Macaca mulatta: one gene and its partner. The protein of the gene in region 1 purifies or fractionates together with the protein of each later gene. This does not show direct contact. Links are inferred from orthologs where the notes say so. Each region holds a gene or a part of one and is shown in the gene's direction. Other genes may lie near its edges. The genes, in order: FGF11 and SIRT1.

Evidence for each region.
Region 2: the proteins of FGF11 (region 1) and SIRT1 purify together in Homo sapiens (affinity purification with mass spectrometry; 3 studies listed by BioGRID and IntAct, with this or other methods). This does not show direct contact. The link is inferred for Macaca mulatta from reciprocal best matches to the Homo sapiens genes FGF11 and SIRT1.

Annotation. Positions count from the first base shown.
Region 1 is NC_133421.1:8,922,004-8,928,761, forward strand, and holds the start of FGF11 (fibroblast growth factor 11), read left to right. Parts: upstream 1-2,276; 5' UTR 2,277-3,643; coding exon 3,644-3,836; intron 3,837-4,794; exon of another isoform or gene 4,795-4,846; coding exon of another isoform or gene 4,847-5,018; intron 5,019-5,065; exon of another isoform or gene 5,066-5,468; coding exon of another isoform or gene 5,469-5,484; coding exon 5,485-5,595; intron 5,596-5,789; coding exon 5,790-5,893; intron 5,894-6,643; coding exon 6,644-6,758. Other genes in the region: TMEM102 (transmembrane protein 102), read left to right, coding at 1-117, 225-1,537.
Region 2 is NC_133414.1:81,874,800-81,881,457, reverse strand, and holds part of SIRT1 (NAD-dependent protein deacetylase sirtuin-1), read left to right. Parts: intron 1-85; coding exon 86-202; intron 203-1,555; coding exon 1,556-1,797; intron 1,798-5,074; coding exon 5,075-5,227; intron 5,228-6,658. UniProt on the Homo sapiens protein: NAD-dependent protein deacetylase that links transcriptional regulation directly to intracellular energetics and participates in the coordination of several separated cellular functions such as cell cycle, response to DNA damage, metabolism, apoptosis and autophagy.

The DNA of each region.
Region 1 (6,758 bases):
AGCTGCAGGAATTGACGCAGCTGATCCAGGAGCTGGGTGTGCAGGAGAGCTGGAGTGACGGGCCCAAGCCCGGAGCCGATCTCCTCCGGGCCAAGGACTTTGTCTTCTCTTTGCTTGGTAAGTAACCCTACTTGCCTTTGGGAGCTCACAGCTCTCAGCCTCACTACGCCCCCGCCCCCGCCCCGGCTTTGGGCGACACCCTCACGATCCGTTCCATTTTTTAGGTCTAGTTCACCGCCGGGACCCTCGCTTTCCTCCCCAGGCAGAGCTCTTGCTGCTTCGTGGTGGGATTCGCGAGGGCTCCCTGGATCTGGGGCATGCACCCCTGGGTCCCTACGCCCGAGGACCTCACTACGATGCCGGCTTCACACTCCTAGTGCCCATGTTTTCACTGGACGGCACTGAAGTGCAACTGGACCTGGAATCCTGTTACGCACAGGTCTGCCTCCCAGAGCTGGTGTGCGGAACCCCTATCCGGGAGATGTGGCAGGATTGCTTAGGACCCCCAGTCCCAGGAGCACGTGATTCGATCCACCGAACGGAGATCGAAGAAAGTTCCAAGGACTGGCAAAGCTCTGTAGACCAGCCGCACAGCTACGTCACTGAGCACGAGGCGCCAGTGTCTTTGGAAAAATCACCTAGTGACGTTTCATCGTCCGAGTTGCCTCAGTATGACGTCGTCGACCTTGGCTCTAGCGCGCCTTTGAAAACACTGAGTAGTGACGTCACCAAGGCAGACGTCGAAAGCCCAGTCCCAAAGCCGTCGGAGGCTCGGGAAGCGTGGCCCACATTATGTCCCTCCCAGGTGGCTACCTGGTTCTTTGCTACGCTGGCGGCCGTCGCCGAGTCTCTGATCCCTGTCCCGGGTGCTCCGCGTCTGGTGCACGCAGCTCGCCACGCGGGTTTCACCACCGTCCTTCTGGCTACTCCTGATCCCCCTCGCCGCCTCCTGCTCTTCGACCTGATCCCAGTGGTATCCGTGGCCGGCTGGCCCGAGGGGGCTCGGAGCCACTCATGGGCTGGTCCTCTGGCCTCTGAGTCAGCTTCCTTCTACCTGGTGCCCGGTGGCGGCACCGAGCGACCGTGCGCCTCCGCCTGGCAGCTCTGTTTCGCCCGCCAGGAGCTGGCGCTCAAAGCGCGCATACCAGCGCCGCTGCTACAGGCGCACGCGGCGGCCCAGGCGCTACTGCGCCCGCTGGTGGCCGGGACCCGGGCAGCGGCGCCCTACCTCCTGCGGACGCTGCTGTACTGGGCGTGCGAGCGGCTGCCCGCGCTCTACCTGGCGCGGCCAGAAAATGCGGGCGCCTGCTGCCTCGGGCTGCTAGACGAGCTGGGCCGAGTGCTCGAGGCTGGGACTTTGCCTCACTATTTTCTGAACGGCCGAGAGCTCCGTACCGGGGACGGCTCCGCTGCGCTGCTCGGAGAATTGGTCCGGCTCCGCGGGGACCCTGCCCGGGCCCTCCGTGCCGCGGTGGAGGAGGCCAAGGTGGCCCGCAAAGGGGGCGGTTTGGCCGGCGTGGGGGGCGGGGCCCATTAAAGATGCTGTTCCTACCAGTGGAAAGTGCCTCTGTGGGCGAGCGAGACGTGGGGGGCACAGCTCGCCCCTCGCCTGGGGGACTGACTGTGTGCCCTGGGCCTGAAGCCCCCCTTCTGGAAGGCCTCCCTGTTGGTTCCTCCTCTAGGACCACCCGCCTGCCCCGGCACAAGTTGCCCCATTCCAGCCTCGCTACTCTACACTTCTGTGGCCAGCACTCCGCCCAGGGGCAGCTTCCAGAAACCGTCTGTCCCCAGTTCTTTTGGTCATTTCTCTTAAGGGTCAATAGAAATGGGAGAAACATGTTTGCTGACCAAACGCGGAAAGGAGTTATGGAGACCAGGGTCTGATCAATTTGGCTCACACACAAAGGCAGAGATATGAAGGAGGCCGGATTTCGCCCGAGGCTGGATCTCACCACTACCCCTCCTCCATCTCTCCAGTTCTTCCCCCACTTTCCTCGTGCTGTTCTGTCCTCGCTAACATCCCGGCTAGTAGGGTCCCTTTCCATTCTCCCAGCGTCCGCCATTCCATCTCCCTTGGGCCCAACCTCTCCTTCCTATCCAGAGGTGCGTTCGGGAGGCCTTCTTGTCCCTCCTTCTCTGAAGGCTGAGACGTGCGGCCTTGCCTCGGCTTTGCCTGCTTGTAAGACACAGTCCGCGCTCTCTACCTCCAAGGAACCCCGGGGTTCCTCCTGCCCGGCTTCACCCTCCTATTTCCCAGCGTCTCCGCCCCCTGCCCCGCCCCCGGGCCGGCTCTCCGAGGAGGGGGAACTGCTGTCGCCGCCGCCGCCGCCTCAGCTTCCCACAGCCGCTGCCGCTGCCGCCGCTGCCGCCGCTCTGCCTGGTCCAGCCACCGGCCCAGTGCTCTGACTTCGCCGGACCGGGGAGCTCTGCAGAGACACCCTCACTCCTTCCCCAGGGTCCGGGACGCCTAGCCGGGCGTGGGGGGAAGCTCCGTTTGCGGGGGACAGGGAGGGAGGAGCCTGGAGCCGAAGCCAGCGCCACCCGTCGCCGGATCAACAGGACAGGACAGGTTGAGGGGCGTCGGGGAAAGGAAGAGGGGGTGCTATAGGCAATCCCGGGGAGGACGAGGAAGCCCTGTCGCAGGAAGCTGTGATCCGCTCTGACTTGTGGGGGGCCTGTTCACATTTGGGGACTGGTGACAACGTGGGTGCACTCCTCTCTCGGGGGGCTGGTTAGATTGGAGGGCGTGGGATCTAAACAGCACCAGCTGTCCCCAAGAAAATTTAAGGGGCAGCCAGGGGAGAAAAAAAAAGCAAACACGGATGCTCCTCATTTTGAGGTGGTGGAAGGCCCTCCAGACAACTACGTGGTGTATCCACTAGGAAGGGTGGATTTGGAGGTGACTTCAAAAGGAGCGGAGGGTGTGAAGGTGAAGAAACGGTCTTGGCCGCTAGAATTCTATGCTACTAGACATGGGGGTGACTTGGTGAAAAAGCTGTTATCCAGCCAGAGGGTCTGGGAGCCCCGTCTTACTGAATCTGGGCAACCTGGATACTCTGAGACATATTTTGGGGAGATTTCAGTGAAAAAAGTGGGGGATCCCCTCCATTTAGAGTGTAGCAAAGGAAAAAACACCAAGGTTGGGTTCCTTCCTGACATTGGCAGTGCCCCGGTAGGGGTGGGATGAGCGAATATCCCCAAAGCTAAAGTCCCACACCCTGTAGATTACAAGAGTGGATTTGGTAGAAGTGTGCCCCCAAATACAGTGGAAAGGTGCCTGGAGATATTTTAACCACGTCTTGGAAATTTGGGGGGTCTTGGTTTTGGGATAGGTGAAGTGGGGACAGACACTGGAGAGGAGGGAAAGGGGACATTTTCAGTAGGAGGCAAAACTCGAGGGTGGGATCCACTGAGGAGTACATAGGCTGCTGGATCCGGTGGAGCCAGCACTGGGCCCACGGGTGGCAACTGGCTGCTGTGGAGGGGTGTACGTGGGGTGGGGGGTTCTGGGGCTTATCCTCAGGTCCTGTGGGTGGGGCAGCGAGTCGGGGCCTGAGCGTCAAGAGCATGCCCTAGTGAGCGGGCTGGAGCCCAGCGCGCTCCTGGCGCTGGCCGGTTTGGGGGTGTCTCCTCCCGGGGCGCCATGGCGGCGCTGGCCAGTAGCCTGATCCGGCAGAAGCGGGAGGTCCGCGAGCCCGGGGGCAGCCGGCCGGTGTCGGCACAGCGGCGGGTGTGTCCCCGCGGCACCAAGTCCCTTTGCCAGAAGCAGCTCCTCATCCTGCTGTCCAAGGTGCGACTGTGCGGGGGGCGGCCCGCGCGGCCGGACCGCGGCCCGGGTGAGTGCGGCTGGGGCGGGGTCTCCCGGCCAGAGGTTTCTCTGCCTGGGAGATTGAGGCCAGGGACTCTGAAGGATAGGGCCCGGCTGAGGGGCTCCTCGAAAGTGGAAGGGGGTGGGCCAGGACTACAAAGTCCCTGCCAGACTGTGCCTCAGTTTCCCTTCTCTTTAGTCCATAACCCGGAGTCTCCTTATTTTCGAGGTCAAGGGGAAGGCTTGAGGGGCTAAGTCTGTATCCCCGAAAGCCTCGCAGTTCCTGCTTGTCCCCCCTTCCCAACACAGCAGTCCCCACCCCCATCGTCCTCCGCCTACGTGCAGGTTCTCGCGATTCTTTCAATCTGGAGCGGAGAGGCCTGGGGGTTTCCAGATGCCTGGGTCACCCCAAGGGTTTCTGCAGCTCCAGCAGCACGCCCCCCCAGCCCCTGCCCGCCCCGGTTCTCCCGCTCCTCCACGCCTGGGCTCGGTTCCTCCTGGTCGAGCTCTTCTGGCTCCGAGCCAATCTCCCCAGCTCTCCCTCGGGTGTCCTTGCAGCTACCTCGCCAGCCAGCCCTCTATGCGCCCTCCTCCCGTGACCTGCGCTTCAAGAACGGAGCTGGGCACCCCCTCCCATAACCCCCGCGCCACTCCGAAATCGGGTCCCGTAGGCTCAGGGGACCCTACGCTGGGAGGAACTCAGACACAGTTCACGGCTAGAGATGGGCGCAGACTCTTGGGGGTCGTACCACCTACAAGGGGGGACAGGGAAGTCGGCAGAGAGCAAGCGATGGGGGAGGAGAGTTCTGAGAGTTAGAGTGTGGTCCCCGTCCAGGTGCGACAGTCAGGGAGTCCCTCTGGCCCTGCTCCCGCCCGCTCCCAACTCCCTTAAGGGTAGCCCCCTCGCGCCCTCCTCCCCGCGCCACCGGCTGCCCATAGTGGTACAATCCGCAGCCCACCCTCTGAGTGGGACCGGGCCCCCACGTGACTCAGCCTGCCTTTCCATCTCCTCAGCTCCCACCCCCCATATCCTTGGTGATGTCCCCCTTACCCCAGGCGGGTTACCTGGCCGAAGGGGAGAGGCTGAGCCTCAGGGAGAGCTGGGCCCCCGCGAGCCAGCAGACAGACAGACAGACAGACGGGTCAGTGTCAGACAGACCGGCACCGGGCCAAGGCAAGGCTCTCGCCAAGCTAGCGGCAGCCGCAGCAGGTGCTGAGTCAGCGTCAGGCCCAGTCCCACCCCCACCCCTGAGGGAGAGCCCCTACCCTGTGGTCAATTTGCTGCTGCCACTGTCCCCCACCTTCGCAAACACACTGCCCCTTCGGTACCCCTGCTGGTCTCCCTCTGTCCCTGCCTTTTGATATATCTCTCCCCTCCCTCCTCCCCCACTCCTCCCCGCTTCTGGTTAAGCTGTAGGGTAGGAATTAAGCCATTTAAATAAATTTCAATAAATTACACTGAAAGCTCCTGGTTATAGGAAGCAGAAGGGACCCACATCAGCTTTCCCAGGAGTGAAAGGGAGGTGGGAGAGAGCGTGCTTGGAGGGTAAGAGAGCTGGGGCCCTGGGACCCTCTTCCTTCCTGTCATTCTCCTTTCATCCTCTGATCCTGCCAAGTGTAGGAATGTTTCTGGGAACAGAGATGTCATTTTCAAAGATGAATGTCTCTCTCTCCAGAGCCTCAGCTCAAAGGCATCGTCACCAAACTGTTCTGCCGCCAGGGTTTCTACCTCCAGGCGAATCCCGACGGAAGTATCCAGGGCACCCCAGAGGATACCAGCTCCTTCAGTGAGAGGGGAAGCTGGCCGCCGGGTGGGAAGGGGGAGAATGGGGACAGCAGATGACAATCCTATTCCCTCTTCAGCTTCTGTTGCCATTGGTCCGTCTTCCTGACCCCTAAGGGAAAATGCGGAGCTGGGATGAGGGGAGCTCAGGTGAGGGTCAGAGGCCTGGGTATTGATGTTCCCTCTCTCCACCCCCAGCCCACTTCAACCTGATCCCTGTAGGCCTCCGTGTGGTCACCATCCAGAGCGCCAAGCTGGGTCACTACATGGCCATGAATGCTGAGGGACTGCTCTATAGTTCGGTGAGACAATGAGGCTGAGTGGCTGGGGAATACCGGGAACTCCCCTTCCTCAATTTATCCCTTGAGGGAATGACAGTCTTCCTCAACTACAGACATTTTGCCTGGGACTCCTCCCTCCAGCTTTTGCTGATGGCCTGTCATCACTGCCCATTCCGGACCAACTCCTCTAGGGTCTCTCCAATGCCCACTCCTTGCACACCCCCAACACAGCCCCAGGCTCTTTGAATGTCCAACTCTTTCTGCCTTTTAGGGCCCCTACTCATCCCATCTCCTCCAGATTTTGTCATTACTCACTTCCCTAGAGTCATCCAGGATAGGGGATAGTGAGAAATTGGGAATACAGTGGAGAGAAGGAATCTTATTCCAAGACCCCTAAAAGTCTAGTTCTTTTTTTTTTTTTTTTAAATAGTAACAGGGTCTTGCTATATTGGCCAGGCTGGTCTCGAACTCCTGACCTCAGCTGATCCACCCGCCTCAGCCTGCCAAAGTGTTGGGATTACAGGCATGAGCCACTGCGCTTGGCCCAGAGCCTAGTTCTTAGCCCTCAAGGGCCCACCAGGCCTCTTCCTTGTCCTCCCTTTGCTCCCAGGTCCTACAAGGACTCAGAAGTTGCCCTCCCCCTCCCCCAAAAAGCATATGGATTATATCTATCTATCCTGGCTTGTGCTTTCCATGAGCTCCCTCCTGCCCAGTGATGTGTCTTTTTATCTCTCTGTCTTTGTGTGCCTTTCTGGGTCTTTGTCTCCTTAGCCGCATTTCACAGCTGAGTGTCGCTTTAAGGAGTGTGTCTTTGAGAATTACTACGTCCTGTACGCCTCTGCTCTCTACCGCCAGCGTCGTTCTGGCCGGGCCTGGTACCTCGGCC
Region 2 (6,658 bases), on another chromosome or scaffold:
ATTGCTCTATAACCGTTTATAGGTCTTCATACATTTTAGGTGCATATTGTTTTGGCAGCCTTGACTGACTTGGTTTCTTTTGCAGATAACCTTCTGTTCGGTGATGAAATTATCACTAATGGTTTTCATTCTTGTGAAAGTGATGAGGAGGATAGAGCCTCACATGCAAGCTCTAGTGACTGGACTCCAAGGCCACGGATAGGTATGGCTCAGAGCTGTTAACTTTAGAGAGTAAATGTATGTTTTTTGATAATTTTGTTTTGAGGCAGAGTTTCGCTCTTGTTGCCCAGGCTGGAGTGCAATGGCGCAGTCTCGGCTTACCGCACCCTCCGCCTTCCGTGTTCAAGCGATTCTCCTGCCTCAGCCTCTTGAGCAGCTGGGATTACAGGCATATACCGCTATGCTCGGCTAATTTTGTATTTTTAGTAGAGACGGGGTTTCACCATGTTGGTCAGGCTGGTCTTGAACTCCCGACCTCAGGTGATCCGCCCGCCTCAGCCTCCCAAAGTGCTGAGATTACAGGCATGAGCCACCTCTCCCAGCCTCATTTGTACCCTTTTTGTGTAGTGTTCTTCATCCAGTTAGAATATCTTCCTCCCTCACTTCATATTCCTTCTTTGTTTTTTTCACTTTATTTTACACTTACCACTTCTTGACAAGCTCTGTATCTTATTTTTTAAATTGTATTGTTTCCTGGTCTAGAATATAAGCTCGATGGGAGCAGGAATTTTTGACTGACCTGTATACTCCTGTCTTGTCAGTGCCTAAAAAAGTGCCTGGCACATAGTTTGTGCTCAGTAAATACTTAATAAATATGTGAATGAAGCGGGAAAGTATTTCGATATAGAAAGCATTATCAGTTTTTTTATACCAAAGGTATAACATAACCATCTTGAAAGTGGATCTTTTTATGTTCTCACTCTTACAAATGGCTTGACTATTTAAACAGTGAAGATCAGTTTCTCTTTGGTGTCTGATTTATTTATTAATTTTTTTTGGTTTTCTCAAGCTAGGGAGCTGGTTTGAGCAATTTCAGGGTAAAAGAAAATGATTATTTCTCAGAACATCAACATTGTATGTATTATCTTGGAAGATTGGTTAAGATCAAATTGAAAAATTACCGGAAAAAAATTAAGATGGCAGTTATGTATAGATTTTCATTTATTTTTCCTGTGTGGTTTTAATGATAAGTAATACAGGCTTTTAGGACTGGTAAGATCTTTTCTGTGTTGATTTGTAGAACCCTTTGGTAAATACTTTTGTTACTGTGTATTTCTAGGTATTAACCATAAGAACTTAATTCTAGTTGTTAATTAGACTCTTAAAATATATACTTATAGCTCAAGGGGGTCTTCCCAACTCTTGATTAGATCTTCCTAATCTCATTGGGATATAGCATTAATTTTGAGGGTGTACTGAGAATAGAATACCATTAAATTGCATTTTCTTACTTTGCAAAAAACCCTCACAGGTTACTAACTCATTACTTCAGAAAATAAATGAGATTTTTAGTTACTTGATAAGTTGACTTTAAGTCTTTTCCCCCTTATTGTAGGTCCATATACTTTTGTTCAGCAACATCTTATGATTGGCACAGATCCTCGAACAATTCTTAAAGATTTATTGCCGGAAACAATTCCTCCACCTGAGTTGGATGATATGACACTGTGGCAGATTGTTATTAATATCCTTTCAGAACCACCAAAAAGGAAAAAAAGAAAAGATATTAATACAATTGAAGATGCTGTGAAATTACTGCAAGAGTGCAAAAAAATTATAGTTCTAACTGGAGCTGGGGTATGTAAGACTAGTAAATGTGGGAAGTCGTATATGTATTTTCTCATGCCTTTTCCAAGTAGGAAGCATTTTTCTGGTTTAGAAAGATTTATCCTTACGTGATAATGGATGTTTGGAAACTGCCAAAAACTGAGTGCAGCAGCAGTTGCTAAATTAGTTCAGATTTTTAAAACCTCTCCAACAGCCTTAAAAAAATATTTGCTTCTGCTTATTTATAGCACACTGGATAAATGGAGTTAAGGCAAGATTTTTACCTGCATTTTATTACAGCTCCTAAAGGAGATGCAGGGAATTGAAACTGCTTTTGTTAAGGGATGTCAGAGTCTGATGGAGAAATTGGCTATTTGTTCGATCTTTATGAGAAACTGGAAACCTACTTGGTATTCACAAGTGAAAAACTTAACGTTGGGAAGATAACAGATTCCTGCCTTCCCTCCGTTTTAATTAAGATGATGTGATTGTGGCGACATGTTCTCTTTGATCTACGTTAGGGTTGCAGCTAATTAGTTACCTAAGGCTATTGCATAGTGTGTGTTTTATGCAGAGTATATTACATGTTAGCAGCCAGAGCAACTGCTGTAAAATTTTGTCCTGTTTTCTGCTGTTTCGAGTTGTGAAAGGGTGTTGCATAATCTTAGATGATCATCAGGAGAATGTTTTGCTCACAGATAACGATGTAGACAAGTTTGTTTAACTTGAATTGACCTTGACTCCAGGTCAAATTGGAGTCAACTCTGGTAAGATGATGAAACAATAACTTCTGGAATCGCTATCTGAAATGTCAGGATTTTTTTGTACGATTAGTGCATAAGTCTCAAAGAAATGAATAATTGAAATATTACATTTTTTTTTTTTTTTTGGATACAGCGTCTTGCTGTGTTGCCCTGGCTGGAGTGCAGTGGTGCCATCATGGCTCACTGCAACCTCAGCATCTCCTGGCCTGTACAGTGTTTGTTTCCTTTTTTTTTTTTTTTTTTTCAAGAGAGACAGAGTCTTGTTCTGTTGCCCAGGCTGGTGGAGTGCAGTGGCACAGTCTTTTGGCTCACTGCAACCTCTGCCTCCCGGGTTCAAGCAGTTCTCTTGCCTCAGCCTCCCGAGTAACTGGGATTACAGGCACACGCCACCACACCCAGCTAATTTTTGTATTTTTAGTAGAGACAGGGTTTCGCCATATTGGCCAGGCTGGTCTCAAACTCCTGACCTCGTGATCTGCCCACCTTGGCCTCCCAAAGCGCCAGGATTACAGGCGTGATCCACCGCGCCTGGCTATACATTGTTTTTTTAATGAAAAAGAAAATTGTAGTATTGAGGTAATAGAATCCTAACTAAAGGAGCAATTTCTTTGGAATTATTTTTCTGTAATAGAAATTCTTGGCTGGTGGAGTGCCTCATGCATGTAATTCCAGCACTTTGGGAGGCTAAAGTGGGAGGATCACTTGAGCCCTGGAGTTCGACATCACCCTGAGCAACATAGACCCTGTCTCTACAAAAAATTAGCCTGGTGTGCTCGTGTGTACTTGTAGTCCCAGCTACTCAGGAGGCTGAGGTGGGAGGATTGCTTGAGCCGGAAAAGTTGAGGCCACAGTGAGCCATGATGGCACCACTGCACTCCAGCCTGGCATTAGAGCGAAAGTGTCTTAAAAAAAAAAAAGAACAAAAGGCCAGGCACGGTGGCTCACACCTGTAAGCCCAGTATTTTGGGAGGCCGAGGTGGGCAGATCACAAGGTCAGGAGATTGAGACCATCCTGGCTAACACGGTGAAACCCTGTCTCTACTAAAAATACAAAAAATTATCCCTGCGTGGTGGCGGGCGCCTGTAGTCCCAGCAGCTCGGGAGGCTGAGGCAGGAGAATGGTGTGAACCTGGGAGGTGTAGCTTGCAGTGAGCTGAGATCGTGCCACTGCACTCCAGACTGGACAATAGAGCAAGACTCCGTCTCAAAAAAAAAAAAATTCTTCCCTACTTTCTCCTTAAAATAATTTATTGAAATGGTTTATTTTCTTCTCAAATTGTATTTGCTTTAATTTGTTGGCTAAATGCTTAAAAGGCTTAAAATTAGCCTGACTTAAAAATTCCTTATTTGTGTTAAAGATGGAATATGAGGTGTATTTAATTCTTCTCAGTTATTTGGGAGTTTTATTTCTGAAATAAGGGTAGGGTTGTGGCCGGGCGCGGTGGCTCAAGCCTGTAATCCCAGCACTTTGGGAGGCCGAGACGGGCGGATCACGAGGTCAGGAGATCGAGACCATCCTGGCTAACACGGTGAAACCCCGTCTCTACTAAAAACTACAAAAAACTAGCTGGGCGCGGTGGCGGGCGCCTGTAGTCCCAACTACTCAGGAGGCTGAGGCAGGAGAATGGTGTGAACCTGGGAGGCGGAGCTTGCAGTGAGCTGAGATCCGGCCATTGCACTCCAGCCTGGGCGGCAGAGCGAGACTCCGTCTCGGAAAAAAAAAAATAAATAAAAAAAAGGGGTAGGGTTGTATTTTTATTATTTATTTATTTATTTATTTATTTTTTGAGACAGAGTTTCACTCTTTTTGCCCAGGCTGGAGTGCAATGGCGCGATCTCGGCTCACCGCAACCTCCGCCTCCCGGGTTCAAGCAATTCTCCTGCCTCAGCCTCCCGAGTAGCTGGGATTACAGGCATGTGCCACCACCCCGGCTAATTTTGTATTTTTAGTAGAGACGGGGTTTCTCCATGTTGGTCAGGCTGGTCTTGAACTCCCGACCTCAGGTGATCCACCTGCCTCGGTCTCCCAAAGTGCTGGGATTACAAGCGTGAGCCACCGCGCCCGGCGTATTTTTATTTCTTTTTTTTTTTTTTTTTTTTTTTTTTTTTTTTTTTTTTTTTTTTTTGAGACGGAGTCTCGCTCTGCCACCCAGGCTGGAGTGCAGTGGCCGGATCTCAGCTCACTGCAAGCTCCGCCTCCCGGGTTCACGCCATTCTCCTGCCTCAGCCTCCCAAGTAGCTGGGACTACAGGCGCCCGCCACCTCGCCCGGCTAGTTTTTTGTATTTTTTAGTAGAGACAGGGTTTCACCGTGTCAGCCAGGATGGTCTCGATCTCCTGACCTCGTGATCCGCCCGTCTCGGCCTCCCAAAGTGCTGGGATTACAGGCTTGAGCCACCGCGCCCGGCCATTTTTATTTCTTAAAAGACATTTCATTCTAAAATTTTCTTTCTCAACTCTTAGCTAATTATATGGTAAGAGAGCTAGCTAGTTCCTGTAAAGGTAGAAGATTTAATTTTACAAATTATGCCATGCACATTTTAGGTGTCTGTTTCATGTGGAATACCTGACTTCAGGTCAAGGGATGGTATTTATGCTCGCCTTGCTGTAGACTTCCCAGATCTTCCAGATCCTCAAGCGATGTTTGATATTGAATATTTCAGAAAAGATCCAAGACCATTCTTCAAGTTTGCAAAGGTACTATGAACTCTTCTGGTTGTTTCTTTGGCTTTCTCTCATGAAAATGTATTTTGTTCATATATAGCCACCTTAAGGTTATCATTCATTGTTTAGTAAAGTGGATGCTGCTACTGTGGCGGAGGAAGATCACTCATTATGGCCAGAATTCCCTTATTCCTAGAGAAGGACTATCATCTACTTCATTTTAGAGTGAGCTTATTTTCAAAGAGACAGTTTCATATTTTTAAAATTTGCCCTTCAGCAATGGTCATTATTCTGCCTGGGCTTTTTAAAGAGGTTTGTACACCATATAAAAGTAACATAACTTGTGATTTTTAATATTTTATTAGAGATTGTAAAGGCGTTATAACATTACTTTGGTGTTCTGTAGTCAAATTTTAACAAGGATGTGCCTGAAAAATCATTTCTAATTAGAGAATGGGAAGATTCTTGGGTTGCATTTTTGTCAGCAAATTGCAGAGGAGCCTTATTCTGTATAGTTGCACTGTCCAGTTCAGAAGCCACTAGCCACATGTGGCTGTTGAGTACTTGAAATATATTTACATGTGCAATAAGTGTAAAAGATATATCAGATTTTAGAGATCCAGTATGGAAAATACAAAGTATTTCATTAGTTTTACTTATCAAATGTTAAACAAATATTGGTTTTTATATGGAAAAAATACTTTTTTTTTTTTTTTTTTTTTTTTTGAGACGGAGTCTCACTCTGTCGCCCAGCCCAGGCTGGAGTGCAGTGGCGCGATCTCGGCTCACTGCAAGCTCCGCCTCCCGGGTTCACGCCATTCTCCTGCCTCAGCCTCCCGAGTAGCTGGGACTACAGGCGCCCACAACCGTGCCCGGCTAATTTTTTGTAATTTTTAGTAGAGACGGGGTTTCACCGTGGTCTCGATCTCCTGACCTTGTGATCCGCCCGCCTCGGCCTCCCAAAGTGCTGGGATTACAGGCGTGAGCCACCGCGCCCGGCCGGAAAAAATACTTTTTAAAATTAATTTTGAATTCTTTTGAAGTACTTTTGATACTGGGTTAAATAAAATGTATTTTGGGCTGTGCATGTTGCATCATGCCTGTAATTTCAGCACTTTGGGAGGCCAAGGTAGGAGGATCAGTTGAGCCCAGGAGTTTGAGACCAGCCTGAGCAACATAATGAGACTCCGTCTCTACAAAATAAATAATAAAATTTGCTGAGCATGGTGGTGTGCACCTGTAGACCTAGCCACTCAGGAGTCTGAGGTGGGAAGATCCCTTAAGCTCAGGAGCTCAAGACTCAAAGTGAACGATGATCTGCTACTGCATTCCACCCTGGGCAACAGAGCAAGAGTGTTTCAAAAATATATGTATATTTTTTGAAGTTTTTACTTTTTCTCTTCTTTTTTTTTTTTTGAGATGGAGTCTTGCTCTGTTGCCCAGGCTGGAGTGCAATGGCATGAT